Tamandua tetradactyla: one gene and its partners. The protein of the gene in region 1 interacts with the protein of each later gene in a biochemical or structural test. Links are inferred from orthologs where the notes say so. Each region holds a gene or a part of one and is shown in the gene's direction. Other genes may lie near its edges. The genes, in order: CD2BP2, CD2, PRPF6 and LRRK1.

The links.
Region 2: the proteins of CD2BP2 (region 1) and CD2 interact in a biophysical measurement, tested with the Homo sapiens proteins (6 studies listed by BioGRID and IntAct, with this or other methods). The link is inferred for Tamandua tetradactyla from reciprocal best matches to the Homo sapiens genes CD2BP2 and CD2.
Region 3: the proteins of CD2BP2 (region 1) and PRPF6 form a complex in vitro, tested with the Homo sapiens proteins (2 studies listed by BioGRID and IntAct). The link is inferred for Tamandua tetradactyla from reciprocal best matches to the Homo sapiens genes CD2BP2 and PRPF6.
Region 4: the proteins of CD2BP2 (region 1) and LRRK1 form a complex in vitro, tested with the Homo sapiens proteins (2 studies listed by BioGRID and IntAct, with this or other methods). The link is inferred for Tamandua tetradactyla from reciprocal best matches to the Homo sapiens genes CD2BP2 and LRRK1.

The regions. Positions count from the first base shown.
Region 1 is NC_135349.1:24,202,057-24,209,878, forward strand, and holds CD2BP2 (CD2 antigen cytoplasmic tail-binding protein 2), read left to right. Parts: upstream 1-4,789; 5' UTR 4,790-4,869; exon of another isoform or gene 4,870-4,883; intron 4,884-4,889; exon of another isoform or gene 4,890-5,011; intron 5,012-5,410; 5' UTR 5,411-5,434; coding exon 5,435-5,512; intron 5,513-5,709; coding exon 5,710-5,839; intron 5,840-5,962; coding exon 5,963-6,120; intron 6,121-6,224; coding exon 6,225-6,657; intron 6,658-6,738; coding exon 6,739-6,845; intron 6,846-6,914; coding exon 6,915-7,046; 3' UTR 7,047-7,177; downstream 7,178-7,822. Other genes in the region: TBC1D10B (TBC1 domain family member 10B), read left to right, coding at 242-356, 486-551, 745-934, 1,284-1,438, 1,528-2,196. UniProt on the Homo sapiens protein: Involved in pre-mRNA splicing as component of the U5 snRNP complex that is involved in spliceosome assembly.
Region 2 is NC_135337.1:4,206,571-4,214,546, reverse strand, and holds the start of CD2 (T-cell surface antigen CD2), read left to right. Parts: upstream 1-4,780; 5' UTR 4,781-4,920; coding exon 4,921-4,981; intron 4,982-5,124; coding exon 5,125-5,415; intron 5,416-7,976. UniProt on the Homo sapiens protein: CD2 interacts with lymphocyte function-associated antigen CD58 (LFA-3) and CD48/BCM1 to mediate adhesion between T-cells and other cell types. CD2 is implicated in the triggering of T-cells, the cytoplasmic domain is implicated in the signaling function.
Region 3 is NC_135327.1:61,424,346-61,431,888, forward strand, and holds the start of PRPF6 (pre-mRNA-processing factor 6), read left to right. Parts: upstream 1-4,326; 5' UTR 4,327-4,459; coding exon 4,460-4,530; intron 4,531-6,288; coding exon 6,289-6,457; intron 6,458-7,335; coding exon 7,336-7,454; intron 7,455-7,543. Other genes in the region: SAMD10 (sterile alpha motif domain-containing protein 10), read right to left, coding at 1,776-1,881. UniProt on the Homo sapiens protein: Involved in pre-mRNA splicing as component of the U4/U6-U5 tri-snRNP complex, one of the building blocks of the spliceosome.
Region 4 is NC_135338.1:83,680,614-83,688,083, reverse strand, and holds the start of LRRK1 (leucine-rich repeat serine/threonine-protein kinase 1), read left to right. Parts: upstream 1-4,327; 5' UTR 4,328-4,437; intron 4,438-7,470. Other genes in the region: ALDH1A3 (retinaldehyde dehydrogenase 3), read left to right, coding at 156-228.

The DNA.
Region 1 (7,822 bases):
AGCACAGCCTGTGCTGGGGAATGGGTAGGGAGCATGTGGGTGTGCAGCCGAGGGTTGGGGGCTGGAGCCTGGAATGCTTTGTTGGTGGTCTCAACCTTTGGCAAGGACTTCAAAGGCAGGACTAGGAAGCAGTTGGGGGCGGAGTGAAATGCTGAGGTTAATCTGGGGCTGGGCTGGGGCTGCTGGAGGCAGAGAGCTCCCAGCTCCCATGATGGTCCTCCCATCTCCCTCTCCCCCACAGGCAGCAGGATCTGTATCGCATCCTCAAGGCCTACACCATCTACCGGCCTGACGAGGGCTACTGCCAAGCCCAGGCCCCCGTGGCTGCAGTGCTGCTCATGCACATGCCCGCTGAGGTCAGTAGACACTGGTCCTGGTCGGGGGGTGGCAGGATGTTGGTCTGCAATGGTGATGAGGGGGGAGGGAACTCCCTACTTTACATTCCTCAGACCCCATCCCGCCCTCCTTGTTCTTGCCCTTCTCAGCAAGCCTTTTGGTGCCTGGTGCAGATCTGTGACAAGTACCTCCCTGGCTATTACAGTGCAGGGCTGGTGAGTATCTAGGGGTACCTGGGGCTATGACTTTTCCCCAAGGCTGCAAGGAGGTCCTGTCCCACCCTGGCCCTTCCATCCCTCTCCTCTGGGCTTTTCCTCCCTGAGGTGAGGGTTCACTACCAGGGCCAGTTCCACCCTAAGGGGGCTGCATCAGGCCAGACCCTCTTCTCATGGCATATCCCACCTCCAGGAGGCCATTCAGCTGGACGGAGAGATCTTTTTTGCATTGTTGCGCCGGGCCTCCCCACTGGCACACCGGCACCTGCGGCGACAGCGCATTGACCCTGTGCTCTACATGACAGAGTGGTTCATGTGCATCTTTGCCCGCACCCTGCCCTGGGCTTCAGTGCTGCGCGTCTGGGACATGTTTTTCTGTGAAGGTACTTCTGTGGCCACCCAGGCCATGAGGGGACTTGGATTTCCACAGTGATTGTCATAGGGCTCTGCCGCATTTCTGGTGCCCCCCTGACTAAAGGTACTTGTTGAACTTTGCTGTAAGCAGCTCAAGGGCTAGAGAAACCAAAGCCTGCTCTTGGTTCTGCCATGGACCACGGCCTGCTCTCCCTCTCAGGCACAAGAAATGAGGCAACTAATTTCCCTTCCCAGGACCTCAATTTCCTTACCTGTGAGGTGGGCAGTAGGAGAGATGGGAGCTGTAAGTCCCTTCTAAATGGGACAGGCCAAAATCCCAGGCCTGATCCCCCCATATTCTTCTCCTTGACCCTGCAGGCGTCAAGATCATCTTCCGAGTGGCCCTGGTGCTGCTGCGGCACACGCTGGGCTCGGTGGAGAAGCTGCGTTCCTGCCAAGGCATGTATGAGACCATGGAGCAGCTACGCAACCTACCCCAGCAGTGCATGCAGGAGGACTTTCTGGTGCACGAGGTAGGCTTTGACCTCAGCACACCTCACACCTGCTTTGGCCCATCCCCACACCTCATATTCATTCTTGTACCCATTTCCTCTCCATCTAGGTGACCAACCTCCCAGTGACAGAGACACTGATTGAGCGGGAAAATACAACCCAGCTCAAGAAGTGGCGAGAAACTCGGGGAGAGCTGCAGTATCGTCCCTCACGGCGGCTGCATGGCTCTCGGGCCATCCACGAGGAGCGCCGGCGGCAGCAGCCACCCCTGGGCCCCTCTTCCAGCCTCCTCAGCCTCCCTGGCCTCAAGAGCCGAGGCACCCGTGCAGCCAGTGGGGCCCCCCCCTCCCCGCCCCCTCCTGTCCGCAGGGCCAGTGCTGGGCCTGCCCCAGGGCCTGTGGTCACCGCTGAGGGACTGCACCCATCCCTTCCCTCACCTACTGGCAACAGCACCCCTTTGGGTTCCAGCAAGGAGACTCGGAAGCAGGAGAAGGAGAGGCAGAAACAAGAAAAAGAGCGTGAGAAGGAGCGGCAGAAGCAAGAGAAAGAACGGGAGAAGCAGGAGAAGGAGCGGCAGAAGTGGGAAAAAGAGCAGGAAAAAGAACAGCAGAAGCAGGAGAAGGAGCGGCAGAAGCAGGAAAAGGAGCGGCAGAAGCAGGAGAAGAAGGCCCAAGGCCGGAAGCTTTCACTGCGTCGAAAGGCAGATGGGCCCCCAGCCCCTCAGGATGGCGGGGATAAGTCCTCAGCAGCTGAGGTCCAGCAGGACGCTTACTTCTGACTTCTCCCCTGGGGCTGAACTGCATGGCCCCCTTCTCCCCTTAGCCAAGAGCAGGCCTGGCCTGGGGTGCTGTCCCTAGCTCCCATAGCAGGCCATCTCTCCCTCTTGGGAAAGTGGCTTGATTCCTTGTCTCTTTGCCATCTGCTGCTCCTACACGGTCAAGACAGTCGCATTATATGGGGCAGCTGTGTTTCCCTGGGACAGCCATGGACAAGTCTTGGTGTCCCTCACCTGCAGTTAGGCCCAGCCTGGGTCTTTTACTCCTGCCCCAACTGCTTCTGGGATCCCCTCCCAGGTACGGTCCTGGTTGACCTCTTGTCACCAGTGGTGACTCTTGGCAATGGGAGTAAGTGATTTTCAGACTCTTGCCCTCTTATCCATGAGGTGGAGCTAGAGTCTCCCTCCTTCAGTCCTGCCTGTCTGCCCCACTTCCTGGCTGGGGGCCAAGGTTTTCATCACTCTACTTCTGGACATCTATGTGCTGTAATTATGTACTGAGGGCCAAGCCAGCCTGGGGTAGGGGCACTTGCTCTGTCTTCTGTCCTTTGGTTTTCCTTCCACAATGCTATTGTACCCATTAATTTAAGGGACATACACCGGAATAGGAAATGTCCCCCCACTTCCCCTTCCACTGCCCTTCTGTGCTTCCTCTTCCTCACCCACTTTCCTCTGTATTCTCAGGCCTCCCCTGCTTTTTCTCACCAGGGCCTCCCACCTTTCACCTTGTTTCCTTCCAACCCTCCAGCCCCTAACTGAGTAAGGGGTCTTTCCTTGAGCTCCAGAGGGTGGGACCCATGTTTACATTCTCTTCTCCTGTCCCTGTCTCTGCCCTGTGCGGCGCTTTAAGGAACCGGAAAAGAATCTGCTGTTGTACCTGGGCCTGTCTCGTGCCTTGTTATTTGGGTGAGGAAGGATGGGGTATGAAGTAGGGAGGAAGAGGGAAGCCAGGACCTGGGTTTGTATTGAAGCAGTCTGCTGATTATTGCAGGTATTTCTTGGCCTTTGGTCCGTCTCTCAGTCACTTCTTAACAAACATTGGTTGAGCTCTTGCCCAGCCTTGCCTGGCATCTGCTGCTTCCATTGACACTGGCTTCCTGGAGCCCTCTTTGTGCCACCTGCAGCATCCAGATCTCCTTCCCAAAGCACTCATAAAGCTCCTAGAAGCCAGAGGGGGCACTGAGGGTGACTAGGGAGCCATAGTCCTCTGGGGATGGGTTGGGCTGGTAGCCAGCTGCCTGGTACAGCTCCTAGTACTGGGCCTCCAGACCAGGTAGCAGGTGTAGCCAGTTGCCTTCAGCTTGCCAGTGCCCACAGCCAGGCGTTCAGACCCTGTTGGTTTTCTGTGGCCAACTTGTAGATCCTCCCATCCTGTGCCTTTTGCCCCAGGGGTCAGGATAGACAGCTCCACCTGGCAGTTTTCCAGCAAGATGAGACTAGGTGATCCACCTGGTGCTCCAAATAGAAGAGGTTTCCCCAGAAGATAAACCAGTATTCCTGGTAGCTGGTATTTCAGACCCTCTTCTTCAGTAAGATGTCCTGATCTGGGGTGTGCTCTGTACCCATGTAAAAAAACTAAGCACTTTTTGTAGAGGTTCATGTGATCCAAACTGGGAGGAAATACTGGGGCAGGCAGAGGAGGGGTGGGCCAGCAGATTTCCCTGCCCGCCCCTCCATGCTACCCTCTGGCTCCAGTGGGCTCTTTCTGGGCCTGGCCTGGCCTAGTGGGATTCAGGCTCTGAATGTCCACAAGAGCTGGGGGCCTTTTCCCTCTTTCCAACCCCAGCTTCTCAGCACTGGCCAAGACTCATCACCTGCATAAGGCACCACAGGTTGGGGCCTTGTTTGGTAAAGGGGAAGCTTTATCCTGTGGCTGTAGTTTCAGACACATGCTGCTACCCTTTTTCATGCCTACCTGACAGCAGGGTTCGAGGGGCCTGGGGCCTGGATACTGCGCACTGGTCCCACTGAGTTGGCTTTCCGACCTGGAAACTAGGAGCTCATCCTGGGGCGGGGCATGGGGCAAATGGGTCCTAAAGGGAACTGGGTTCTGAAACCAAAGTGTGGTCAAGGGCCCCCGAGGCGCATCATCTGAAGAGCCGGGCTTCCTCTCGACGGGAAAAAGAGTAAAGCCACTCCTCCCAGGCTATGAAAGAAGATGGCAGAATATTAGACGCTCTGAGTAGGAAGGGAGAATTTCTCAGAAATGATGAGGGCGCAGAACCCTTGGCCAGCCCTGTAGGAAGGGTGACTCGAACACTGGAAAGAAAAACTAGGGCAGGAATCGTTGATTCTGCTTGGACTTTGCCCCTCTATCCAGACCCCTGGCGCCCTCTTAAACCGAGTGGACTCCACTTTCCCCAGAGCCTCAACTGCTGTCTTACGGAATCGAAACCACTTGCTGCCACCTCTCTGGTATGATCAGGCATCCATATATCCTCTTTTCTTGCTATGGCCTCCCCACGCAGCTCACGTCACCTCTCGCGGTGGGTGTCTTCCCTCTTTCCCTGAGTACTTCCGCCCGCTCTTCCAGTTAGTGTAAACGCAGTGAAGCCACTTCCGGCTTTCTTTGGCGCCTTCCGCATTTCTCTTCCGGGTAGTGGCGCCCGGGTGCCCCGGATGTAACTCTAGCGACAGCCTTCTTGCTTTCGTTCCCCTCCTCCCCTGGAGCCCCAGGTGATCGCGCGCGGGTGGGTTTCCTGGGATCCTCGTATGCTTGCCGTCCCTCTAATTTGTATTCGTACCCCAGGATAGTTAGGGGTTGCCCCGCGGAATTGGGAGTTCGGCGTAAGAAGGAGCAGAGAGGCCCGGACTCCAGGTCCTGAGTCCGCGCGGGCCCCGCGGTCTCTGGAAACTGGGCGGCGGGAGGGGGTTGCGGTGTAACCCGCGGAGCCCTGTTTCGCTGTGGCCTGCGGGGCTTGGGGATGAGGGTGGTCACATGGGGGAAGCTCTCTCCTTTGGTCAAAAATGGGGGTACCGACGGTGGCCATGGGAAAATCCTTTACAGTCCCTGCTTCAGCCACGTTCTTGAATGCCAGACCAAACCCCTGAGGTCGACTGTCTGCCAGCTCCGCTTTTGGCTCCTGACTCTAATGCTCCCTCGCCTCCCGAACTGGACCTGGCATGTACCGGAAGAAAAATTTGCTGTGCCAGGGGCCCTCTGGTGGCTAGTCTCCACCTCGCCCAGATCTCTAATTCTCCACTCTTCTCGGCACAGCTTAGGGGATCCCACCGTTCCGTCATGCCAAAGAGGAAAGTGACCTTCCAGGGCGTGGGGGATGAAAATGATGAGGATGAAATGATTGCCCCCAAGAAGAAGGTGAGGGGACCAGACTCCTGCGTTCTGGGGGACTAGTAGAGAGGAGGCAAAAGCCTGAAGAGGAAGGAAGTTGGTGGGACAAAGATGTTGGAGGGTTGGCTTTTCCATATTGTTTTAGGAGTGGGTTTGGAGGATTTTCAGTTTGGGTCAATGTTTTGGGGAGCAGCCAGTAACCTTCATCTCTCACCTGTATACAGATGGTGGACCCTGTGGCTGGGGGCCCTGGGAGCCGCTTCAAAGGCAAACACTCTTTGGACAGTGATGAGGAGGATGACGACGAGGAGGGGTCCCGCAAATATGACATCCTGGCCTCAGAGGATGTGGAAGGTGAGCCATACCCCAAAATTTGACTCTCAACTGGAGGGACAAGGAGGGGCTTCTGAGTTGTGGGGCAAGGGAGATTCTTGTCTCTTTTTTGCCTCACATAGAGAGTCTATGTCTTTGGTTCAGGTCAGGAAGCAGCCACACTCCCCAGCGAGGGGGGTGTGCGAATCACGCCCTTCAACCTGCAGGAAGAGATGGAGGAAGGCCACTTTGATGCAGATGGCAACTACTTCCTGAACCGGGATGCTCAGATCCGAGACAGCTGGCTGGACAACATTGACTGGGTGTGGCCCAGGGGATGGCATGTCTGTGGCCTGGGGGCAGTGGGTGCTGGACCTGGGGCCTTCTGGCAGTTTGTAGGAAGTAAGTCCTTTGTCTTCAATTACAGGTAAAGATCCGGGAGCGACCACCTGATCAGCGCCAGGCCTCAGATTCAGAGGAGGAGGACAGTCTGGGCCAGACACCGATGAGTGCCCAAGCCCTCCTGGAGGGCCTTCTGGAGCTGCTGCTGCCAAGGGAGACAGTTGCTGGAGCATTGAGGCGCCTGGGAGCCCGAGGAGGAGGCAAAGGGGGCAGCAAGGGTCCTGGGCGGCCCAGCTCCCCCCAGCGCCTGGATCGACTTTCGGGATTGGCTGACCAGATGGTGGCCCGGGGCAACCTTGGTGTGTATCAGGAGACTCGGGAACGGTTGGCCATGCGACTGAAGGGGCTAGGGTGCCGGACCCAGGGGTCTCATGATCCTACACCCCCACCCACTCTGGACATGTTCGCTGAGGAAGTGGCAGAGAGGGAGCTGGAGACGCCAACCGCTGTCCAGAGAGGTAAGTGTAGAGGGCAGAAAAGGAAGGTTGTGGGCAGGGGAAGGGCAACTGAGGCCCAAATGGCTTTGTCTCTTGTTTTAGAAGCAGAGTCACTTGGGGATGGTCTGGCGGAAGTGATGTGGGAATATAAGTGGGAGAACACAGGGGATGCTGAGCTCTATGGGCCTTTTACCAGCACCCAGATGCAGGTAAGCTCCTTTCTGCTTTGTTCTGCCTTGTCTCCCTTACCCTTCCCCCTGCTTCCAGTCCTCCCCCAGCTCTGCCCTCTCTCCCTGCAGACCTGGGTGAATGAAGGCTACTTCTCGGATGGTGTATATTGCCGGAAGCTGGACCCCCCTGGTGGTCAGTTCTACAACTCCAAACGCATTGACTTTGACCTCTACACCTGAGCCCATTGCGGGCCCAGGATACTGGCCCCTTCCTTCCTGGACTCTAAATTGGCCCCAACTGCCTCAGGCAGTGAGGACATTGAGGGCCACCTCTCAGTTTCCTTTTCCCAATAAATGCCTTTAGTTGTGTATTGGGGCCTTGGCTCTGCTGGTGACCAGAAGCAGGGGGCCTCTTCCACAGCCCCTATGGAGTCACCTCAGTCCTTGAGTATTGCCTCCCATGAAGTTACTCCTTGGAAGTTTCTCTGTGTTCTCTCCAATCACCTCATCTTTGTTTACCACTCTTGTGGAGCAGATCCAGGGCCTGTCAAATGTCCGTGGCCTCCCCACCTGGACTCTGCCATCTGAAAATCCCATCACTCACCCTCCAGGCTCCTCTGTTAGTTCCTGTTTTGCTCTTCATAGGACTTTGGCCTTCAGGACATTAGAGTCTCAGTTCTCACAGCCAGCAGGAGATAGAGCCCCAGGAGTGGAAATATTAGGCCTTGAATGGCTGGGACATCTGGTAGATTTTGTGATCCTTTTGGGAGTGAGCAGGAAGCATCTTCCTCACTGGCTCCCCACTCTCTCAAGCTCCTTAGAAGTCGGACAGAAACAGGTTGTGTAAGTCAATATTATCTAAGACCTCTAAGATCTTCAGAGCCAGTATGTTTTCATATTTTGGCTCCTCTTCTATCCCTTTCACCAGTTCCTAAGACTCCTTGTTGTTCTTGGGTGAAATGCAGACTCGGTAATTGGCACTTGAAGGGCCCTTTAAGGCCACCTGGGGCAACCAT
Region 2 (7,976 bases), on another chromosome or scaffold:
CTCCATCTGCATGCCGGGTGAGTGCTGCGCTGGGGCTGTTTGGCCCAAGGAACTTTTCTCTTTAATCACATGAGTATATAAAACTGGGGGCAGGCAATCACTCACCCCATCTTCTCTCAGGGGCATTTCCCCCTTGGGGACTTCCAGGCTGGTGATTGTCATCTCAGGAATCCATGCATCTTTGCACACGAGCTATCATCGTGGGTTGGTTCTGCCCACTGGGCTGTGTGGGCGGGAAGCCCAAGAGGAAAAGCAAACCCAGTCTGGGCCCCCGAAGGAAGCAGTGCCTGGCGAAGGAGTAGGTTCTTGGAGACTGGCTTTCCTAATTGGGAAAGAGCACATGTCTCCGGGTGGAAGGCACCCCAGCCGCTGGCTATGTGGGAGTGGTTTGTGTGAGAGGCCCAGCCCACTGCCTGGCAGACACCTAACCCTAAACCGATGACTTCGGATCTGACGCTGATGGGACCTCCCAGATAGGCCCAAGCTCAGCGTCAGCAGAGTCTGGGCTGCAGACAGCCATGCCAGGGGCCTTTCTAGTAACCACGGAGCCAAAATGGATGGCGAATTTTAGTCTGAGACCCAGGGCTCCTTTTTCAATTGTTCTCACCTGAGTGTGTGGGGCTCGCAAGGAGATGCTAGAGGGAAGACAGAGGAGGGCAAGTCTGGGCTTGGTGACTGCCTAAATTTAGGGGGCTCATGGGGTGGGGGAGGTTTAAGTGGGAAGTACACTGTGTCCTAGCATTTGGGCCTCAGGTTGGAAAGGCAGGGAGGGACTCAGCTGCTGGCTTGACTGAGGTGGACAGACACAGCCCAGGACCTTCTCTGGCCACAGGGTCCCCAGGGAAGCATGGAGAGGCAATCCGATCCCTTCCTGAGGGTCTTTCTGCTCTAAAAGCTCCTGATTCAGGACATTCGATTGGGTAAGAACTACAGAAAACGGGTCTTGTGGCCACAGTGCTGAGCGAGGGACCTGGTTCTCAGTTAGTACTTTAGGGTGACACGCAGGGAGGCAGACAGGAGTTGGGGGTCACGATTTTGCTACTGAGGGGACAGGAAGCTGCCCCGAAGCAAGACCTCTAAGAACCTGCCCTTCTTCCCTCTTCTGCTGCTTAATCTCGTCCCTTTACTCTGTTTCACCGGGAGTGTTAGTTTGGGTAAGAAAAATGGTTCAAGATGCTAAGTGAAGACACGCCCCTTCAGTTGCAGTGAGGGTGGTAAGGGAGGATGAGTCTTGGACCAGATTTTTCCCGGAAATCACACACACTAAATCAGGGACTGCACCCTCCCTCAGTGCTTGGGGGACCCACTTAGAATTTAAAAGGCATTAAAAAGCGACACATGTTCAATTGAAAAATATAACAATATCAACAACAAAACAGTAACCATTATCCATCCCTCAGGGATCAATGCCTGGAGGAAATCCTTCCAACAGACACACACACACACTTGTTAAGGAAAAAAAAAAGTGACTTTACTGTTTTTTGGTTTTTTTCTTTGTAACCTGTTTTTTTTACATCCCAGTTTGTCCATATGGTGAGTTACTCACCCAATTTCCTTCTATTGACTATTTAAGCTGACAATTTTTGACATACAAAAAATGCTGCGGTGTATAAACTTATAACCAAGTCTTAGGATGTCTCCATCATTATTTCCTTAGGATTAAATCATAGTTGTGGATTTGTTAGGACAAAATTTAAATAAAATGTTTTTGATGCTTCTGATTCAGACTGACAAGTTGGCAGCCAGAAACTGCGTCCCTATTTGCATTTCTCCTGACCGTATTTAAGAATGCCCTTTTCCCCGCAATCATCAGCACTGTCTGTATATTTTCATTTGTAAGTTATGAAAGATGAAAAATGTATGACATCTATGTTTAAATTTACATTTCTTCGATTATTAATAAATTGAGTATGTTTTCATAGATTTATACTTCTATTGTCTTTCTTTTTTTGTGAATGTTCCTTTCATGATCTTCACCACATCAAGTTATCGTCTTTTCTTTCTACGTTCATAACAGAATTTTAATTTGAAGGATATGAACCTTTATCACATATCCCACAAATAAATTTGTCCCTGTTAGTACTTTATCTCTTAATCTTTTTTATGACTTTCTTTTAATTAATGAAGTTGTAGGTTTACAAACAAACATGCATAAAATACAGCGTTCTCATATAGCACACTATTATTAACACTTGTATTAGTGTGGTACATTTGTTGTAATTCATGAAAGAACATTTTAACAATTGTACATTAAACATAGTCCAAAGCCTCATTGGTTATACACGGCTCATTGCTTGTGTTTATAGTTCTATGTTTGTTTTTTAATTTTTATTCTAATAATATATATGCAACCTACCATTTCCCTCCTTTTAATCACGTTCAAATACATAATTCAGCGCTGTTAATTGCATTCATAATTTTGTGCTATCTTCACTACAGTCCATTACCAAAGCTTTACAATCGACCCAAATAGAAACTCTGTACAGTTTAAGCATTAATTTTTTTACAAACAGGTTTGCAATTTTATGTAATCAGACTTATATCAATCCTTTTCTTATTCATGGTTTCTCCTCTCCAAGCCACGTACCTCATGCTGTTTTGAGTTAGATATGAGAGGGACAGAATGAATATTTCTAAAAGAAGAACTGAAAGCTGTTTTCCACTTATTCCATGAGAGCTAAGAAAATGAGTATGACTGCTGAATTATTATATCGACATTTTTTTTTTTAGTCTCCAGTATCTTGGAGTAGCTAGAAGGGAAATTGTGAAATTATAGAATTATATCCCATACCAAACTCTGAAATCTGTTTTATAATTACATGTTACAATGTACTTTGAAATTCATGGCTTTTTTGTATGTATGTTATATTTCACAATTTAAAAAAAATGTGTTCAAACGTCACAGAAGTTGATAACTTTATGTATTATCATGTAATTTATCAAAGGTATCATTCCATGTCTTAATTTTGTTCTTCTTCATTCTATTTGAACTGTTATAGAATATTTCATAAACTGAATATACCATAATTTAATTGTTTGCAAATTTTTGTTACTCAAAAATGCTACAACAAGCATCCTTGAACGAAACTTTTGCATGTTACACAAACATTTGTATAGGACAGATTTCTTGAACTAAAATTACTGGGTAATTTTAAATATATAATTACTGGGTAATTTAAAAATATATATATTTTAAAGTTTAGTGAAAATTGTCAAATTCTGACCCCTCCCTGGAGATAATGATTTACACTCACTCCAATATTGTATGAAGGTGCTTGTTTTGCCCCATATTTTTGTCCATAATGTAAATGATCTTCTCAGTTTGCCTATCTGATGGTTAAAAAAATGGTATTTTGTACTATTAGACACATAAATATAGGTGAGGTTAAACTTCTTGTATGTTTATTAACTATTTATATTTCTTCTATAAATTGTTCATTCAAGTCCTTTGCCCATTTTAAAAACCAGGTTCTTTTTCTTACTGATTGATAAGGAACTATTTCTATATCTTAGGTAATAATTTTTCACATAGACAGAAAATATTTTCTGTCATGTCTTTTCATTTTGTTTACTATATTTTTGGCTTACATACACTTTGAATTTTCATGTCTGTATTTATTAATTCTAGAAAGTTAATTTTTTATAGAAAGACCTTCCATATGCAAAGAAATGAAAATGGATTTCTATATTTCTTTTGCACTCTTATAGTTTTTTTGTTTTCTTAACATTTAAAACTTTAATCCAACTGTTTTTCTGTGGGTGATTTGACAGTTAGGAATTTTCACATAACCGTGAGGTAAGTATTTCAGTTAGGCTTCCCTTTACCCAATGGTAGAGATCCTTTCCTTCGACTTAATTTCATTTCCTGGACTTTTTCAGAGATAATATCCATAGTTTACCTGAAATTGACAAAAAAAAAAGCACAACTTTTAAGATTTTACTCACTGTATCCTAAAGAATTATAAAACTGGATATTAACTTTGGAAATGTGTCGTTTTTACTTTGGAAATCTGTCATTGATGTCCCATGACTGGGGTATCTGTGAATCTTTCGCCGGGAGCATCCATCTCTGTCTCACTGTTTCTCTTTTTTGTATTACAAATTTCCTTTCTCTCTCTCTCTCTCTCCCAGTTCCCTTTCACTTGTTTTTCTCTCTCCATATCCATCCCTTTCTCTTAACCATCTAAAATGTTAATTGTCGTAAACGTTTTTAAATCATTAGTTCGGGTTGTTTAATAGTATTTCATAGTTTTTATGCTTCTTTGGTTGTTTTGGAACAAGTTTTTGTTTACTTAACTGTGGAAATTACAATAGAGTTGTAAAATGTATAGTGCAACATAAGATTTGGGGACTCCAAGCATTTATAGCTGAGAATCAAGTCATATTTGTTTCCTTTTTTAAATCACAAAAACAATTTTAGAACACTCCAACATCGTAGGATACTCGCTTGTATTCTGCTAGTCACTGACAAACATTTACTCATATTTAAATGACAACACAGTAAAGTGGATAGAGGACGGGCTGGATGGGAGAATGTGATCCCTCCTTTACTAAAGGCTGCTCCTGGGTGATTTATTAGCCTCTCGGTTCCTCTTTTCTTCAGTGGGGATAATGAAACCCACCCAAGATTTTTGTGAAGCTCCCAACATGATTAGAAAACACATATTCACGAACACACCTGCTTTAGCAAAGGAGAGCGTCAGACACATTATTTTGCTGATTCTGTTTGTGTGCGCGCGCCTGCGTGCGTGTATGTGTGTGTGTGTGTGTGTGTGTGTGTTTGTTCTACACTCCTGTAAAAGGACCTAAAAAAAGCGGGGCACATGGTTAAGCTCTCAGGGCGTGGGTTCCACCAGTCCTGCTTCAATTCTTTTTTTGCAAGAAGAGCTTAGAATCACAACAAGGAAACTAACCCCAAAGATGAACCTCTCATGTGAAATTTTCGCCAGCTTCCTTCTGATTTTCCATGTTTCTGCCAAAGGTAAGTTACTGTGTGGGTGTCTATCGTCACAGCTAAAAGCCTCTTTGGAGACCCTGTGGCGTGTGCAAGAGTTGAAGAGACCACAGCCCAACCTGTGTTGGCAGTGGATCTTCAGATCTCAGGAACTTTCTTGCTTTTCACAGGTGCAGTCCCTAAAGAGGTCTGGGGTGCCCTCGGCCGTGAGTTCTACTTGAACATTCCTGATTCTCTAGTAAATCAGCCGACGGGTGATATACAGTGGAAAATTGGAAATACCAGGATTGCACGATTCACGAAAAGTAAAATAACTAGCACGTACCCGTACGAGGTGTTCCCGAATGGAACTCTGAAAATTAAAAATCTGATGAGAAATTACAGCAATACCTACATAGTAAATGTATATCATGAGAATGGAAAACATGTGCTGGAAAAAGCATTCACGTTGAAGACTCTGGGTAAGTCTTTGCTTTTTAAATTCCTCCATTTCAGCAAGGGTCCCGTTTAGCAAGTTGGTTAATAATGTTTATGGAATGTCCCCAGCACTTCCCTTGGCCTCCTGGGGAGCTGTAAGGGAAATCTAAAGTACGTCTCCTGTCCCAGTGGGGACCACAGGCTGGTGGGAGAGATGGAATCCACCCATGTGGAAATAAACAGTTGATGGGCCTTCAAGTTCAGCCGCCTAAAACTCTCCGGTGCCTACGGGGATGCAGGACTGGTTCAAGAACATGGATTAAGGTGGCGTTAATCAGAAGGAAGCGAACAAGTGAACAGAGAAAAAGGTGGCCGTCCCAGGTGCATGATGAGCCAAGCAGTTAGGGGTGCGGGGAAGGGAAGGAGCGGCTCGGTAGAGAGCGGCAAATTTTCAGATAGAAAATTTCAAGCCAGGTGCCCTAAAAGGAGTCGTTCTATGGCAGGAAAGGGCTGGAAACAATGACTTTGAGGAGGCAGGTCCTTGTTGCTGTCCTCCCAGCATCAAAGTGGTTGAAGGTGGACAGAGATTTTTGCTGATGCGTGTTAAAAAAGAATACACAGGGTGTGCCTTTGTATGTCTGCGTTTTGGGAGGGCAGGAGTGGTCACTGAAGATGAGGGAGGAAGACCAGCCAGGAAGGTGCTGCTATAATCCAAGTGAAATGAGGAGGGGCTGGCTAGTGCTTCTTAACCATGTCCTTTAGAATCAGCTGGGATGCCGTTAAAAGTTTTCGGCACCCAGGCCCAACCACAGTCTGGTAAAATCAGAATTTCTCAATGTGCAGCTTGGGCGCATTTCTAAAATGTCCCCGAGGGATTCTCATAAGCAATCGAGGTTGTCAACCACTGGCTTAGACTTTACTTTTTGGGTGCCTGTAAAAGGAGGAAGAATGAGCCTACTGAGGGTCGGGAATGGAAAAAGGATGGACAAGATGCTTTGCAGGATAAACTGAGGAATGAGAAAGAGGAATTGAAATGATAACAAGGCTGAAAGTCCAAGGGACACTGGGTAGGGAGCAGTAAGGGGAAATGAGAAGATGACCCGACACTTGGCTTGGAGAGGAAGGCAGGAATCCAGCCCCAGCAAAGACTGTGATTCAGTGAGCAAACAAACAGCTCTGTACTTCACACAGGAAATGCCACCCAAGGCAGGGGCCCTTCCTCTTCTCTGGGGTAACACTTTCAGGCCAGGGCTCAGCCTGGGGACTTAACAGCAGCCCCACTCCGACAATCCCAGAGATTGTTGGGACCCAAGCAAAGGGCAACTTTTGAAACCCTAGTCCTGCCCCCTCGAATGGAAATATAATCTAGAAATGGTGTAGGGCTGAGAATGGAGCCAGAAGGGGCTCCTGTTTAGGACTCTGGGAGCCACAGATCCTACACCTCCAGCCAGCATGAGCTCAAGGGCCCTGTTAAATCAACCAGAGCCATGCTGGTGCTGTCCAATTCATGCCTCATTTCATATCAGAGTGACCACAATGGCTACCAGTAGTTGATGCCACTAGATGTCAGGGGCTTCATGTACATCATCTTATTTAAAGCTCAACAACAACCCTAAGACATAGTTATTATCCCTTATTACCTATAAAGAAGCAGAGACTCAGACAGAAGCAACTTGCCCAAGGTCTCATAAAGACCAAAGAACGAAGCCAGGATTCAAACCCAGGGCCCCTGTTGGCAGGGATGGTTATTTCTAACTTTATTTATTTATATAATTGTATGGCTCGAATTCACACGCCATACAATTCACCCATTTAAAGTGTACAATCCAGTGGTTTCTCGTATGCTCACACAGTTGTGAGAACATCACCACGATCAATTTTAGAATAGTTTCATTACCCCCAAAAGAAACCTCATACCCTTTGGCGGAAGAGGAGTGACTCTCCCATGACGTAATGAGCACCTTGCTGTTTGCTGGGGGTGCATGAAGATCCCTCAATATCTTAACTCGGTATGGGGTCCTGTCGCCAATACTTGCTCATGGGCTTGAGCGGAATTCTTGATCTGCTCTGAATGTGGTTTAAAAAAAAAAATACTGCAAAAGACATTAAGGGATTTAATGAGACAACGTATGTAAATGTGCTTTGCCATGCGTGGGGCACGAGACGTGTCTGCTCCACGAGAGTGCCCTCCCCCATCTCTTTGTTTCTCCATGCCTCTTGTGGCTTTAGTCACAGACCCCAGCTTCCCTGCCCCTCTCTAATGGGCTTCATAGTTTCTTGCTGAAGAGGTCTTGGAGGGCACCTTACAGGTAAATGGTATGCTCAGCCATGGGAAGGTCTTAATAAAGTGCTCCCCTTTGACCCATCCATGCCTCTTCTAGGGAGCCCCCTTACAGGGAGGCTATGAACAAAGACATAACTTCCCGAGATTGTTCATCACTGCATTGTTTATATTAATAAAATGCCAAGAAGGATTTAAAAGTCCCCAACAGCTAGGGACTTATTAATTAAATTAAGAAGGCGTCATATTTATTGATGTTTATAAAGCAAAGAGGTTTATAAATTATTAGTAAGGAAATAAAGGCAGGCTACAAAATCACAGTCC
Region 3 (7,543 bases), on another chromosome or scaffold:
CCAGAGGCAGGAGGAATCATGAAGGGAGCTGGCTCGAGGTGGCCACCAGGCCCAAAGATGAAGAACTGTGAACACTTTCCCCTTCCAAGCCCCAGCCTGTGCTCTGAAGACAGAGGACTGCCTGCAGCAGGAAAGACTGTCTCCCAGCTCACAGGGGGTCACTGACCCCTAGCTAGGTGAGGACTCTATCCTAGGCAGCTCCAACTCCTTCCTAGCTGGGGCTGGCCCATGTGTTACACACACACAAATGTGTAGGACCCGCCACCAGAAAGGCTGGCCTCAGTGTCCCCGATACCTGGACGTGTGTAAGTGGGGGCCTCTGAGCATGTGTTCCTGATTGTTACCGCTCACCACTCCCAGTCTCTGTAGCTGCACCAGGTCTTCGAGGCCTGACCGAGCCCCTGCTGCAGCTCACCCACATGACTCATCGAAGAGAAATCCGAATTCTGGGCAAGTGACAGTCAGGATTCCCCAAACACATGTAGGGATTTCCTGCCTTGCTGCCTTCTGCATGGGCTGCCCCCTTCCCTGCCCGGCCATGGGGAGTCACCAGGCCCAGGTCAGCACTGGGCATGTGGCAGTGCAGGCAGGCGCATACTGGTTCAGCACAGGTGTGGCACACGCATCAGGCCTGGGAACCATGGCATGCCCAGACTCCCTCGTCCCCCACCAGCTGCATCACCCTTGTCAAGCATCTGCTTTACAGTCATTTCTGGGATCTTTGCTGAAATGAGATCAGGCAGGACATTCACCTTGATAGGAGCCAGAAGGTCCATGAGAAACATTGTGAAGGAAGGAAGAAAGGAAGGAGAGAGCAAAAGGGAGGGAAGGAAGAAAGAAGGGAAGGCAGGAAGGGTGGAAGGGGAAAGCTCCGTGTGGCAAAGTCAAGAGAAGTGGTGGGAGAGACAGGAAGTTGGGACCCAAGCTCTGGGTCAGCAGGGTAGGGGTCCGTGCTGAGGCCAAGGGCCAGTGCTCCTTTCTCCCCCTTTAGCCCTAGAAGGAGAGACCCTACCTCCTCTCCAAGACCAATCCCGGGTCCCCACCGCCTGGGGCCGGGCTTGGGCGTGTGCCCAGGAAGTCTCCCCACAAGCAAATCAGCATCCCACCCTTCTCTTTCCACCTCCCCCAGGTTGGGAATTACGCCCTCCACCTGTACCTAAGTGACTCTAAGTTTGAGGTGGTGAGTCAGACTCGGAGGGTGGGGTCGGTGTGGGCCCCACCCCGAGAATTGTCTTCTAGTAACGTGGGCAAAGACTTATTCTAAGGCCGCACCATTCAGGGCAGAGGCGCTGGGCCCGGACCTCCCCGCACTCTTCCAGGAAGCCAGTCGGCCGCCCCCGCGCGCACCTGCCCGGGGTTGGCCGGGCCCCGCCCATTTCCTGCTTGGCACTAGGGGAAGGGGCTTCCGTCCACAGGTCGGTGGGTCCTTCCCAGTCTAACGTCGGAATTCTAGCAGGGAATGAGGAGTAGGCAGCAATTTGGGCTGTGACCTCACACCTTCTCGGCCTCGCTGCCAGGGCCAGATAGGGTTTTCTGCGCGCGAAGAAAAAGGTGACCCCAGTGTGCTGCCAGCCTGGCGACAGGAGCCCGGCCAAGGGCGCACTGGTCCTTAAGGTCTTAAGTCGACTTGCCCTCCTCCGACCCTCCACACAGGACAAAGGCCAAGGGGACCCTGTGCGGCCAGGGCCCGCCCCCCTCAGCACCCCACCGCTCCAAGCCAGCAGGGTCCCGCCTCCCTCGTTCCACAGCCCCTAGCCGGGCGCGGCCCCGCTCACCATCCACATCCCGGCGCTCCCCGAAGCCGGCGCGCACGGCCCCGGCGCCACCCCTTGGGGGGCTCAGCTTGGACCTCAGCTCGGTGAACATGGGGCCCGCGCGCATACGCCCCTAGCCGAGCGCACCGCGGCTGGTGTGGTAGCGGGGAACGCGCGCCGCTGCCCCGCCCCACCGAGCGCCGCGCCCCCCGCGCCTGAGCGGGTCGTCGCGCCTGAGCCGCTGTGGTCAGCAGCGCCGGGTCTCCGCGGCCGGCGAGTCTGCGCGCGAGACACCTGCCCGCAGAGCCCCTGCGCCCCGCGCGCTCTGGGAGCTCGGCGGTGTGGCGGCGCGCACGCGCGCGCGCGCTCGGGTCTGCGTGTGCAAAGACTGTATGCGAGGGCACAGGGCGTCCGTCCGCACCTGGCAGGGCTCCGAAGACGCAAGGAGAACTTGCGTCTGAGGTAGGGATCGTGGGGACTACTGGGTCCCCTGTATTGGGGTGAGGGGGGCGAATCGTACCTACTTCTGGGCCATCCACCCTTAGGAGCCCAAACCAAGAGCCAGAGCAGACCCTCCTAACACCTCCCTCAAGTTACCTACCTCATTATTTTTTTTAATTAATTAAAAAAAAAATTAAATACCAAAAAAGACCAAACACAAACATTCGTAACTTTTGATCATTCCATTCTACATATATAATCAATAATTCACAATATCATCACATAGTTGCATATTCATCATCATGATCATTTCTTAGAACATTTGCATCAATTCAGAAAAAGAAATAAGATAACAGAAAAAAATTCATATATACCATACACCTTGCCTCTCCCTTTCATTGATCACTAGCATTTCAGGCAAAATTTTTTTTAACATTTGTTCCCCCTATTATTTATTTTTATTCCAAGTTTTACTCGTGTGTTGATGAGGTGGATAAAAGGAGCATCAGACACAACGTTTTCACAATCACACAGCCACATTGTGAAAGCTATAGCATTATACAATCATCTTCAAGAAACGTGGTTACCTGAACACAGCTCCACATTTTCAGGCAGTTCCCTCCAGCCTCTCCACTACATCCTTACTAACAAGGTGCTATCTATATAATGTGTAAGAATAACCTCCAGGATAACCTCTGGACTCTGTTTGGAATCTCTCAGCCACTGATACTTTGTCTCATTTCACTCTTCCCCCTTTTGGTGGAGAAGGTTTTCTCAATCCCCTGATGCTGAGTCTCAGCTCATTCCAGGATTTCTGTCCCACATTGCCAGGAAGGTCCACACCCCTGGGAGTCATGTCCCACGTAGACACTACCTCATTAATTTATTCGTTCACTCTTTTATTCACACATTCGCATTCTACAGACCTCTCCTCCAGTGGGCCCGGCATGGTCACCTCGGAGACACCAGTTTTATCTCTCCTTTGTCCCCACCATCCTGTGAATTTCAGAAGGACACTGAGCGTCTGGTGCAGCACCCTGCACATCTCAGGGACTGAGATGAGTGAGGCTCAGTTAAAGATTGCAGGGGAGAGGGAGGCTATATGAGATAGGAGGGATGTGTTTGCTCTGGGTTCCCCAGTGAAAAGTGCTGAGGTGGGCTAGGGCACAGGGAAAAGTGTGTGGTCGCCCTGCCCAGCACCAGCTGGCCTTTGCCTGCTCTGCCAGAGAGCAGATGTGGTCAAGAGTGGGAGGGGCCTCGGTGCTCCCCCAGGTATGTTCGGGAGTGGAGGATGCCTCCCCAGCCAGAATGAGCAAAGATGCACATCCACATGCAATAATGCATGCAGATTTCAGTCATACATGTCCACCGAAATATATGCACACATATGCAACCTGACCTGAGCACATCCCACCAATACACAACATTGACACAGAATTTACCCACATGCTGTGACTGCCCATGCATACATACTGACGTGTATGTGGACATGTCTGCAGGGGCCTTGATGTTCACTCGGCTTGGGGACGTGCAGTGAACAAAACAGGCAGGGCTCGGGCCCTCACCAGAATGTTCAGGGAACGGTTGAGGGCACGGGTGCCGCCCGACCGCAGCGGGAGTCCCTGGATTGACTGCCAGGGACCAGCGGCTCAACTGGGGCCGGGGAATCTGTGTACAAGAGATGCACAACAGACAGGTTTGCCCACAATCAGAACATACACACATGGGCGTGCAGCTCTGCTCAGATGACATTAGGGCCTGCCTGTCTGGAAGACCAGGGCAGCTCTGAGGGGCAGGGGGGTTAGCGGAGGCCGAATAGGATGGGACCCTGGCAGCCGGGCTGGCTTCGATGGGGAGGGGTCCTGTTAGCACAGGAAGGCCTCCTCGCGAAACGCATCTGAGAACACTCAACACTCAGAAAACAGAAATGCCACAGGCGCCATGTTAGGGTCCCGCAGGGTTTGTCCTGGGTGTTGTGGCCCTTTGACCCCTTCGAGCCGGACGGGCGCTGCCCACCTGGCCACCAGCAGACGTGGCCACCAGCATCCCAGCACTACAGCAGTGGTCTGGAGTTGCCGGAAACAGCGTTCGAGGAACTTCCGCCCAACCCCCGCGGGTGGGCGGGGCTTCGCGCGGACCGCGAACTATGCTTCCGGGTCGCGGGTGACGCGGGACGCGTCCTGTGTCCGCGGCGAAGCCTCGGCGTCAGTGCTCCTGGATTTGCGTTTGAGGCCTTGTAGTTTTCCGATCAAGCCGCCGCCGCCATGAACAAGAAGAAGAAACCGTTCTTGGGCATGCCTGCGCCTCTGGGCTATGTGCCGGGGTTGGGCCGCGGGTGAGGCTTGGGCGGGCTGCGGAGCGGACTGAGGGCCGGGCTGGGGCGGCGGGAGGTGTGTGCCTGGGGAGGGGTCCTGGGGCGGGGCCGGGGCGGCGGGAGGTGCGCTTGGGAAGGGAGAGGGAGACGGAATCGGGCTGGGTATCACTCTCCCTTTCTGACCCGGCCTTCTCCCACCTGCATCTCTGCTTTTTTGTCCACTTGGGAAGGACCGTTCTGATTGTATCCACGCTTAACCCCTGGAGACAGCAGGACTTAGGGTAGCTTGCCAAACAAGAACAATAATAAAAGTTAAAGTCTGCAGCCACACAATCTGAAAGACAGGCGGTGGTTTGGCCCGAGCCTCGTGGGAAACGCTGGGCTCGGGGTCAGCAAAGACCTAAGTAGGAATCTCCCTGCTCCTCAGCAGAGATGTAACTTTTCACTTAGAGACCCGTGTTGAGGAATATCGCTGTAAAACCACCCTGGAGTAGAAACTCATGTGTAGTGTCCTCCCCAGGCCAGGCATCACCCACTCTTCCTGCCGGTCTTGACCTAAACGTGACTGAACTTTTCCTGACTATCCAGGCTGCATGAGGCGCCTCAGTTGTAGCAGCTTCTAGTACCCTGTTTTTTCTCTCTAGTAGCGTTCACGTTGCTTGTTTAAACTCTTAGTCCCCCAGGGACAGGGATGGCATCTGCGAGGCTTGAAATCCGGTCCCAATGCTTATCACACAGAACACATACATTGTTGAATAAATGAACAGTCTTTATTTTCTTTGCTTAGTTAGTCATTTGACTAGGAAAACTAACGAGCTTCTCTCGTGGGTGTTCAGGTGAGGTGAGACATTTGCATAAATAACCTGAAGAGGAACTGATTGAGAACTCTGGGGTTCCCAAGACTAGGGAATCCTCTGTGGCAGCATTTGAGCCAGGTTCTGAAGGAGGGTTGACTTTAGAGATGTAGAAAGGTGGCAGAGGTAGAGCAGAAGCTGACATTCTGTGTGGGTTAAAAAAAAAAAAAAAGGGAGAAGCACTGAGGAAGAAAGCACAGCAGGAGGCCAGTGTGAATGGATCATGTGGTGAAGGGAAAGATGCTGGAGGTCAGCAGGGCCTTGGACATCAGTCTGAGCTTAGTTAGGCTTAGGAAAAGTGGTGGCGACTGAGATGGCCTGTTTAGAGCAGTGCTTGCATGGGTTTAAGCAGGAGAAGGCCAGAGGCAGAAAGGCTCATTTGCCTCCCAACCAGATGGGAGTCCTATGGTCGGGAGAGGAGATAGCCCATAGGTAGGATCAGTAGGACTTGGGTACAGATTGGTCGGAGGTGAGGAAGGAGGGAGGCGAAGGTGATGCTCTGGTGCCTGCCTTGGCACTGCCATCACCACTTGAAACAGCCCAGAGCAGAGCAAGACAGACAGAGGACTTGGTTTGGGCCAAGTTGGTGTGAGGGACTCATTGGATGTCAAGGTAGAGATGATCAGTAGGTTGTTGGAAATGCAAGGCTGGAACTTAGGAGAAAGGATGACTTGATTCTCTGGGCATCTTGTGTGGAAGAGAAAGTAGGGAAGACTTGGAGCCTTGGCATCCCCAATAAACCCCCTTGGAAGGTTTATTGCCCAAAGACAATAGCCACCAATGTCTTTTGGAGGTTTCTCACAGATGTTAGAAAAAAAGGTGCTGTAGGTTATCAAGGAGGGTGGTTGGGAGAACACGGGAACAGGGTAACCCGGATCATGTGCAGGTGGGCCTCTTGGATCCCCTGAGCAGCTTTCTCCCGCAGTGCCACTGGCTTCACCACCCGGTCAGACATTGGGCCCGCCCGGGACGCAAATGACCCAGTAGATGACCGCCATGCACCGCCAGGCAAGAGGACCGTTGGTGACCAGATGAAGAAAAACCAGGCTGCAGATGATGATGACGAAGATCTGAACGACACCAACTACGATGAGGTGACTGACCCCATGTGGTGACCCTATGAGGTGACCTCCTGTGTCGTGGACTTTCCTTGGGCTCCCTGCCAGTCCCTAGAAGGGCTGACCAGTTTTCTTACCCAGCATGCTCAAGGAAGGCAGGTACATTTCATATTTCAGCTGTTCATGGGATGCCATTGGCAGAGTGTGAGGAGAGCAGGGAAAAACACTGAAATGTGCTCTTTTGCTGTCTCTTCAGAGGAAATATACTTGCAAATATTAGAACCATTGCCTTGGTGTTTTGTCTTGGCTGGTATTTAGTGATGAAAGCTTAGAGTGTTATTAGTGATAACATTTGTTTTCTTTTACTTTAGTTCTCACCCTCTTAGTGAGTTGGGTAACTGGTCTTTGGTGAGTTGACATTTCCTTCAGGTGTATGCTAACAAATGGCATCTTTCCTAAGTGACAGGAAGATTAAAAAAAAAATTCAGAAAAAATTTCAGAGTTCCCTTCACCAGGCTTCCCTTTATGTTAACGTCTTGCATAACCTTAGTGCAATTATTGAAACCAGAAAATTAAACACTGATACAGTACTATTAACCAATTTATAGGTCATGTAAATTTGCCGGTTTTTCCACTGATGTCCTTTTTCTGGCCCAGGACCTTGTCCAGGACCTGTTATGTTTAGTCATCATGTTGTCTTAGTCTCCTCAGTTGGGACAGCTCCTCAGTCTAACATGACCTTGACAATTTTGAAAAGCACTGATCAGTTATTTTGTAGCTTATCTCTTAATTTTGGTTTGTATGAAGAAAGAGATTATTCAGTGAGCATTTTCCACCTAGAGATGTTTTCTCTTACTGGTGGGGTTTGTATGGGAGGAAATGCTTACCTCATTAGCACAATTTTTGGTTTTCAGTTTAACGGTTATGCTGGGAGTCTCTTCTCCAGTGGACCCTATGAGAAAGACGATGAGGAAGCAGATGCCATTTATGCAGCTCTGGATAAAAGGATGGATGAAAGAAGAAAAGAAAGAAGGTAAAACAAACTGTTGCCCTTCACACTTGTTTCGTTTTGCCTGAATTTTGGAGTTGGGGGAAAGTTGCAAGAATGGTATGTGTGTTTGC
Region 4 (7,470 bases), on another chromosome or scaffold:
ACTATACGTCCATCAAGTCATCACATTTTGATCTTTTGTGTAAATTCCAAAGTACCCAACAGAGAGGAATGGTCCATAAAGTAGCTGAACACAGTTTCTATGGAAAGGGTAAGGAAAGCGCCCATTCTGAATATTTCTCTTTTCTGTGATCACAGAGGCGAGTATGCCCTCAGTGAGTACACAGAGGTGAAAACCGTCACCATCAAACTCGACGACAAGGACCACTGAAGTTCAGGCAGAGTCCTTCCTCAAACATTTGACAGCTGAGTGCGGCGGGCGACACTTGCCGAAGAAAAACAACTACATTTCGGACTTTCCCGGGATGCCTCCCCCTGGAAACTTTCAGTCGACTGGATTTGAACGAGTTTGTTTTCCTCTGACTCTATTCTATTGATCTAGCTGGGGATGCCCGTAGGTTGTGTGCAAGATTGTAGCACTGTCCGGGCAGAGCTCTCAGCCATTTCTGTCTTCCCCCTTTAGACCAGGTCCCGGGGGACAGGGACAGTGCTCACCACGTTGTTTTCAGGGGGAGTGGCATTTGAAGTGTCCAATGGTTGCTTAAAAATGCTTTGCCGAATCTGACCACGGTAAGAATTTGGAAAAAACTCTCGGCAGGGTCTGCACGCCTGGCCCTGCCTTTGTGGTGTGCTCGGCTCACCTGCAAATAGAACAAGCACTTCCTCCTCCTGGGATAAGACTGAAAGGCACTGTTCAGTGGGAAATGGACTAGCGCTGAGTTAAAACTAATAAAAAAAGGGATTGTGAGGACCCACTGTGGGGAGCTTTGGGGAAGCTCATACAAGCTTTGGGGAAGGTTGCAGAAGGCTTTGGGTGCACGTGGGTCTTCAAAGACAGGCGCACTGAGCATTGAACACAGCTGAAAACCAATACCGCCTTTGCAATATAACTGAATCAACAGCCCAAAGAGCTTATTCTAAACATATGTCATGGACTATCAAGGCACTTTCTTAGGCAAAACAATTGTTAGAATCACCTTTGCTGCTAAGAATCCAATGCTCTGGCACTAAGACAGTATAGCACATCCTCCAGTAATTGTCTCACAATTTAAAAAATAAAACAATACAGCAATAATTCACTTTTACAGGTTATGCAATGCTGCCACATTCGTTAGTGGTTTATGATAAGCCTATATACTTTTTCCTTCTTCCAGTTTGGTTATCCATTTTAGGTTATTAAAGCACACACAACTGGAAAGAAACGTGTCATAATATAGCCCTGTTTTTAAAAAGCCCTGTTTTGGATATTAATTTCTGATTAGTCAACAAGTAAGGCATGGACTCCATGGAGGAGTGGGGTTTCCTACTAGATCCAAGTCTGAACACTTCACTAACAAGTTGTAGAGCTGTTCCTGTTTGTGTATCCAAATCATGTGCAATTTCCTCTGTTTCAGCTTGGAAAACTGAAAGTGTTTCCATATAGCTTTAAAAAAAGAGAGAAACCAAATTTTATGTTCCTCAGATGCTTTTAATGTTACTAATTTGTACTTTCCTAATTGGAAAATTATTACTTACATTTGAGAATTAAGTTGAGGGAGGGGAGGCAATTATAAAATTAAGTTCACCATCGAAACCAGTTTGTGTACAAAGGAAGCCATGTGCGAAAGAGGGTTTTCATCCTTGTCAGAAATCCACAATATATAATTCACACCCTCTCCATCAGTTAGCACTTACACTACCAAGAATTTGTTAAATCAGGATTTTATTTCATACACTGAATTTTCAGTATTTTGTTCTCAACTATTACACTAACCTTGATCATAATACATTAGAGGGTTCTTATTCTTTCATTGTACAATAATGCCTTTAATATGAAATGCTACATTATTTATAATTGGTAGAGTTATTGTATCTTTTTATAGTTTGTAAGTACACAGAGGTGATATGCCTTCTGTAATATACTGTATTTAGAAATGGAAATCTATATAGTGTTAGATTTTACTTCTTTAAAGGTTTACCCTGTGATACAGTTTAAAACCCTATTGGCCTGGGAATTCTGATCCTAACTGCAGATTAAGTTACAATGGAGCTATGATCAAATAAAATCGGATATTTGAGAAACTTTATGCTTTTTCATTTGAGAACCAAACCCATTTTAATTCTCTGGTTGAGTTTTTCTCTTTCCTAGACCTTCTATGCAAAATGACCTGTAATATAGCAGTACCAGTGGCTGAAGAATAAAATTACATTTGCTCAATTGATCAGGCCTCAATGCTTCGCCTGTGTCTGTGAAAAACACTGGGGTTGACCAGGCAGGGAGCTCTGCCTTAGTGGCTCTGTGTCTTCAATGGCTAGACTTAAGCTGGTCATCTAAGCTGATAACGTTTGCCATGTGTGTGGATAGTTGCATGAAGGGTTGTGTGCAAATTTAGGGAAAACATTGTATTCCCTTTACTGTGTCCATTTTTTGGTTCTCTCTCCACAAGGCACTAGATATTTGGGTTTAACTTACCTCAAATTTCTAAGACTTCTAAACAAGAAGCCTCAGTCACCAAGTCTCGAGTTGACACAGAGATTGGATCTAGAACATTCCTTATACTTCATTAGGTTCACCAAGGTCAAACTGTGCATTTGATTTCAAAAATCCAAAACACTCTTGCCATGTGTTGGCGAAGCACAGCTCCATTAAGAGAAAATTTGGATCGGATCCCTCGTAAAATATTTAAGAGAGGGAGCCTTCCAACTTGAGGTGCTGAAAAGCTGGGTGGAATACTGAGCACAATGTGAGAGGACCATGCATTAGCAGGGTGAAAGAAAGGAGAAAGGAATCATCTGACCTGTAAGGACCTTCCCATAAGAACCTGATAAGTCACCCCCAATGGATAGAGCTGACTGATGGGGAATAGCCAGCTCAAAATGGGACACCCGTGTGTCGAATGTTCTGTCTGCTTTTCGTATTGGGGCCATTTTCTATCCCACTAACAAACTCTTTTATAAGGGAAGTGAAGCATTACATTGGTGCCTGTCCACTCCAAGGTCTGCCCGGGACTAGGCTGCGCTTCCCCACCGAGTCGCTGGGTGGCGGGGCCGCGCGCTGGGAAGGCGCCGCGCTCAACACCAATGACGCCCCGCCCTGCAAATGATTAGGGACTTTTCGATAGCCGCAATACTGCTGGCCTTGCATCCTGGTATTAGGAGGCCGATGGGAAAAAAAGGGATTGCAAAACTGCACCCGCCCTCTTGGAAGGGCGCCCGATGCAAGAAGGGTCTGAGGGGCAGCCGCCTGGGAGCAGAGCCAAGCTGCCCAGGTCCCCTCAGACAGCAAGGGGCCGGGCCCTGAGAGTCGTGGCGATTTGCCCATGTGCTTTGCGCTAAGTCCTGGGGCTCTCCCAGCCGTTGCCCTACACGAGAGGCGCCCCGGGTGCTTGTCCTGCCAGGGTGCGGAACGATTCGCTTTTTCTGAGCCCGCTTCTCCTTCCTCAGTGGACAAGAATGTCAAAAATCAGAGGGCTGCCTGCCGCGTGGACATGTGTGGGTGCCTTAGTGCCTCAGTGGGTGACAAACATCCTCATATATTAGGTTGAGGCATAATTAATCGGCCACATGGCACCATGTCTGAACTACAAATTTAAAAAGCAGACAGTTAAAAATGATTCACCAATGATGAATATGCAACTATGTGAAGATATTGAGAATTACTGATTATGTATGTAGAACCGAATGATACGTTAATGTTTTTGTTGTTCTTAATTTTTTTAATTAATAAATTTTAAAAAAATGATTCACCAAATAGCTTCATCTTTGCGTAGATCCACAATTAAGGTAGGTAGTCAGTTAAGGTGGTGGAAGAGGTGCAGCTTGCAAAAAAGAACATTTAAAAAAAAAAACACCCTAGTTTCATACAGCTCTGTAGGCAGGTTGCACTGGTATTTTCAACCCTTGCTTTGCGGGAATTTGGGCAGCATTCAAATGCGAGGTTAATCCGGAAATGATGATGCTGGACAGAGCAGAGGGACAACGAAAACCAGATTAATCCGAAAAGGAATTGATTAATCTGATTAATCTGAAGGGACCCGGTGTGCGTTACGCGGAGTCCCCAAACCTGGAGGAGGGCCTCGCTCAGGAAGGACCCTGGGGCCCAGTCATCTCCTGGGGCTGGGAGCAGGAAACTTGCTCGTACCTGCGTTTGCCGGCTGGGGGAAACTGAGGCAGGGCACCAAGGGGCCGCCGGGTCCGCACGTCGGTGGGAGCCGCAGCGGCGCCCCCAGCCTCGGGACGCCTCGGCCTCGCCCCGCGCTCCTCGCGCCGCCCTCCCGCCCGCCTCAGGATTGAGGAAGTGCGTCTGGTCCCGGCCCGGCCCCGGCGCGCCGCCCGAGGCGCGGGGGGCGGAGGGCGGTCGGAGCGCCAGGCCCGGCCCGCCGGTGTCCTCCTGCCCGCCCCGGGAAGCCCCTGCTCTGCAGCCCGCCCGCCGCCGCCGCAGGTAAGCGCTGCCCGGGCCGCCGGGGTGGCAGGCGGCCTCCCGCATCCCGACCCGACCCCGCGGCTCCCGGCGCTCGCCCCGGCCGGGCCCGCACTCGGGGGTCTGCGTGGAGCCTTCTGGCCCTGCGCCCGCGGGCGGCGCAGCCCGGGCCCCGCGTTCGGGGCGGCCGCGTGGTGGGGGACCGGGCGCCCTGACCCAGGGGCCGCGTTCACATCCCGAGGGGGCTCCCGGGGCGCGGCGATCACAGCCCCGATTCCTGAAGTCGCGCGTGAACCCGAGCCACCCCCCCGCGGGCCGGGGCGGAGGCGTGTGCGGGGCCCAGGGGGAAGCCCCCGAACCCCCGATCTCTGCGCAGGACGGCCCCGGGACGGCGAGGGGGAGGGGGAGCAGCGACAAGAAACAAAAGTAGGAAAATCCACCAGGCGGGCGTCTCGGCGTCTCCTCCGCCTTTGGAGAAAACTCCTCCTTCCACTTGGAGCGCGCGCGTGTTTGTGAGCGTGAGTGCGAGGGTGTTGGAAGGGACAGCCCCGGGCTCTCACTCTCCCAGGGGCGGCCCGGGTGATGCGGGAAGACCCAGGGTGCCTTCACTGTCCACAGTCAGGGGCGTCCTGGCTCAAGGGTAGCATCTCTGGCCGGATATTAAGACCAAAGGCCTTCCCTGCGGGTGACCTCCCCTGCGGGTGACCTCCCCAGCCGTCACAGGGGCGGTGAGATGAGTGCAGCCCGGGGCGCCCCGGGGGGTTGGCGGGAGATGGTGATGGGGGAGGCCAGAGCTTGCTTGGTGGCCAGCCAGACCAGGTGGCCGTTTGCAGTTTGATGGCCACGCACAAAATTTTTCCTCCCACGAACACAAGTGCAAGCAGCGGCTTGAGAGGCAGAGAAACCCAGGAACCGAGAGCTGTTTTTTTTAGCTAACTCCCACCCCCACCCAAAGAGTAGATGATTTTTAGAGGTATTATCAATCTATTGGAATATTAATGATACAACTAACATACGCAGGGTTTTGGTAAATGGAAACAGTTAAATATTTTATTAGGATTTTCTTCTCAGTATCTTTGCTTATGTCTTGTAAGCATAACTTAGGTGAAAACGTAAGGTTATGGCATACAAACCTCACACCTACCAAATTCTTAAAGGAGCTCTTGATGTCAACCAACGCCCTCTCTTCCCCCAGGCTGCTGCGTGTCAGGGAGTGGCCCTATCTCAACTCAGTTGCTATGAACGGATCCCTAGGCGTTATCCTTGATCCCGTTTTCTCATGCCCCGAATACAGTTCCTCAGTAAGTTCCGTTGGGGCTACCTCCAGAGGTGTCCCAGGGCCATCCACTTCTTTCTCAGCCTCCAACCCTAGCCCAAGATGCCAACACCTCTTTCCCCTAGGATTGCTGTCTTCCACCCTACCCCACCCACTCCATTCTCTAGGAACCAGAGAGGTTTTTTTTTTTTTTTTAAGAAAAAGAAAAGGTAAATAAGATTATGTCACTCCTCTGCTTGGGAGCCTTCAAGAGCTTCTCCTTGTAATTGGCATGAAATCTAGAGAACCCCTTCCCCTCTACCCCTGCAGGATCTGGTCTCTGTCATCTGGGAGGGCTGCCCCACTGGACTCCCAGTCACCCTGACTGAGCTCAGTCCCCAGTGCGGGGCCTCTGCATTGCTGTCCTTTGACTCTTGATGAGGTTGATACCTCAGAAGGTTCTAGAAGGCCTGCCTTGTCGAACCTGGCTAAACCCACCCTCCTTCTCTCTCACATCCCTCTCTTTGTGTCCTTCTTACATTCTCCGCTGTTTGTGTTTGTGTATACTTTCTTTATTCCATTTCTCTTTTAATTACCTGGCTGTTCCCCAACTTTGGCTTCCTGGGGTTAGAGACTGTGCCTAACATGTTCCTCACCCAGTCCCTGATTCCTAGAACCCTGCCTTGCACAGGAGATGCCCAGTGCAGACTGTTGGTGTAACTGAATGGTGAATGGGACAGCCTTCACTTATTTGTGGTTTCGGGCTCATGGGTTCTTCTTTTGCCAAACCCTTAGGAACTCCTCTAGGTTTGAGAACCACACACTTTTCCTGTGTGCAGCTCCATGATTATCTTGATATTCACAAACCTGTCAATGCATTTTGAAGACGAATGGATATCAGTAAAGGGATACTAATAATGCTAAAGGAAGGTCTAGAACCATGGAGCAATCAACTTGACCAGGCTTTTGATTTAAAAAGGAGCTGGTCTGTGTTAGTATTTCTAATGTGTTTGTTTCTTTTGCAAGTGTCTTGCAACTCTGGTTGTGGCAGCCCTTTCCAAATCTCTTGAAAGAAAACAGTGTGGGGGGTGCGGGGTCTCCTGTTTCTTCCCTGATGGAAACTTTGTAGCTGTAACTGACTTGACTTCCTCCCCACCAGCTGTAAGTTTCATGAACTCACGAAGTTCATGCCTCACAGAAAGGGCTCAATAAACAGTTGTAGAATTAACAGCAGGTTCCTTGTTTGTTTGTTTGTTTTTCCAATAAGTATTTAGGTTTATTCATTAATGCAAGTATAAGGGATTAGCAAATGGAAAAAAAATTGAATTTTGAAAAATATCTAGGACAATTATTATTTCAGAAATCCTCTTGAAGCCCACCTAAGAGGTATATATCATAATGAAAAGAATATATATATACATATATATAATTTATGACCATGAGTTATTGCATTGGTCTGAACTCAAAAGAAAAAGGAGGAAGCAAAGATCAGTTTGAGGGCAAAGATAGCGTAAAACTTGTGTTACCTCATCTTAAAACTATTACCTTAGAGTATAAACAAATGTACAAATTATAATTAAAACTGCTCCGGGGGCAAAATCCTCCTCTGGTAAAGTGATTTTCAAAAGGAAACTGAAAATGAAAAGGGGAACAAAATATGCTGGGTGAGGGTAAGCCTAAAATATTTTAAAGATTTTTTTTTTAGCTCTAAAACATTGTATGGTAAGACATTTCTGTTTTCAAAAGGAATGCCTAGCGTTTGGATTTTTGAAGTGTTGCTGGGTGTATTTCGTAGCTGT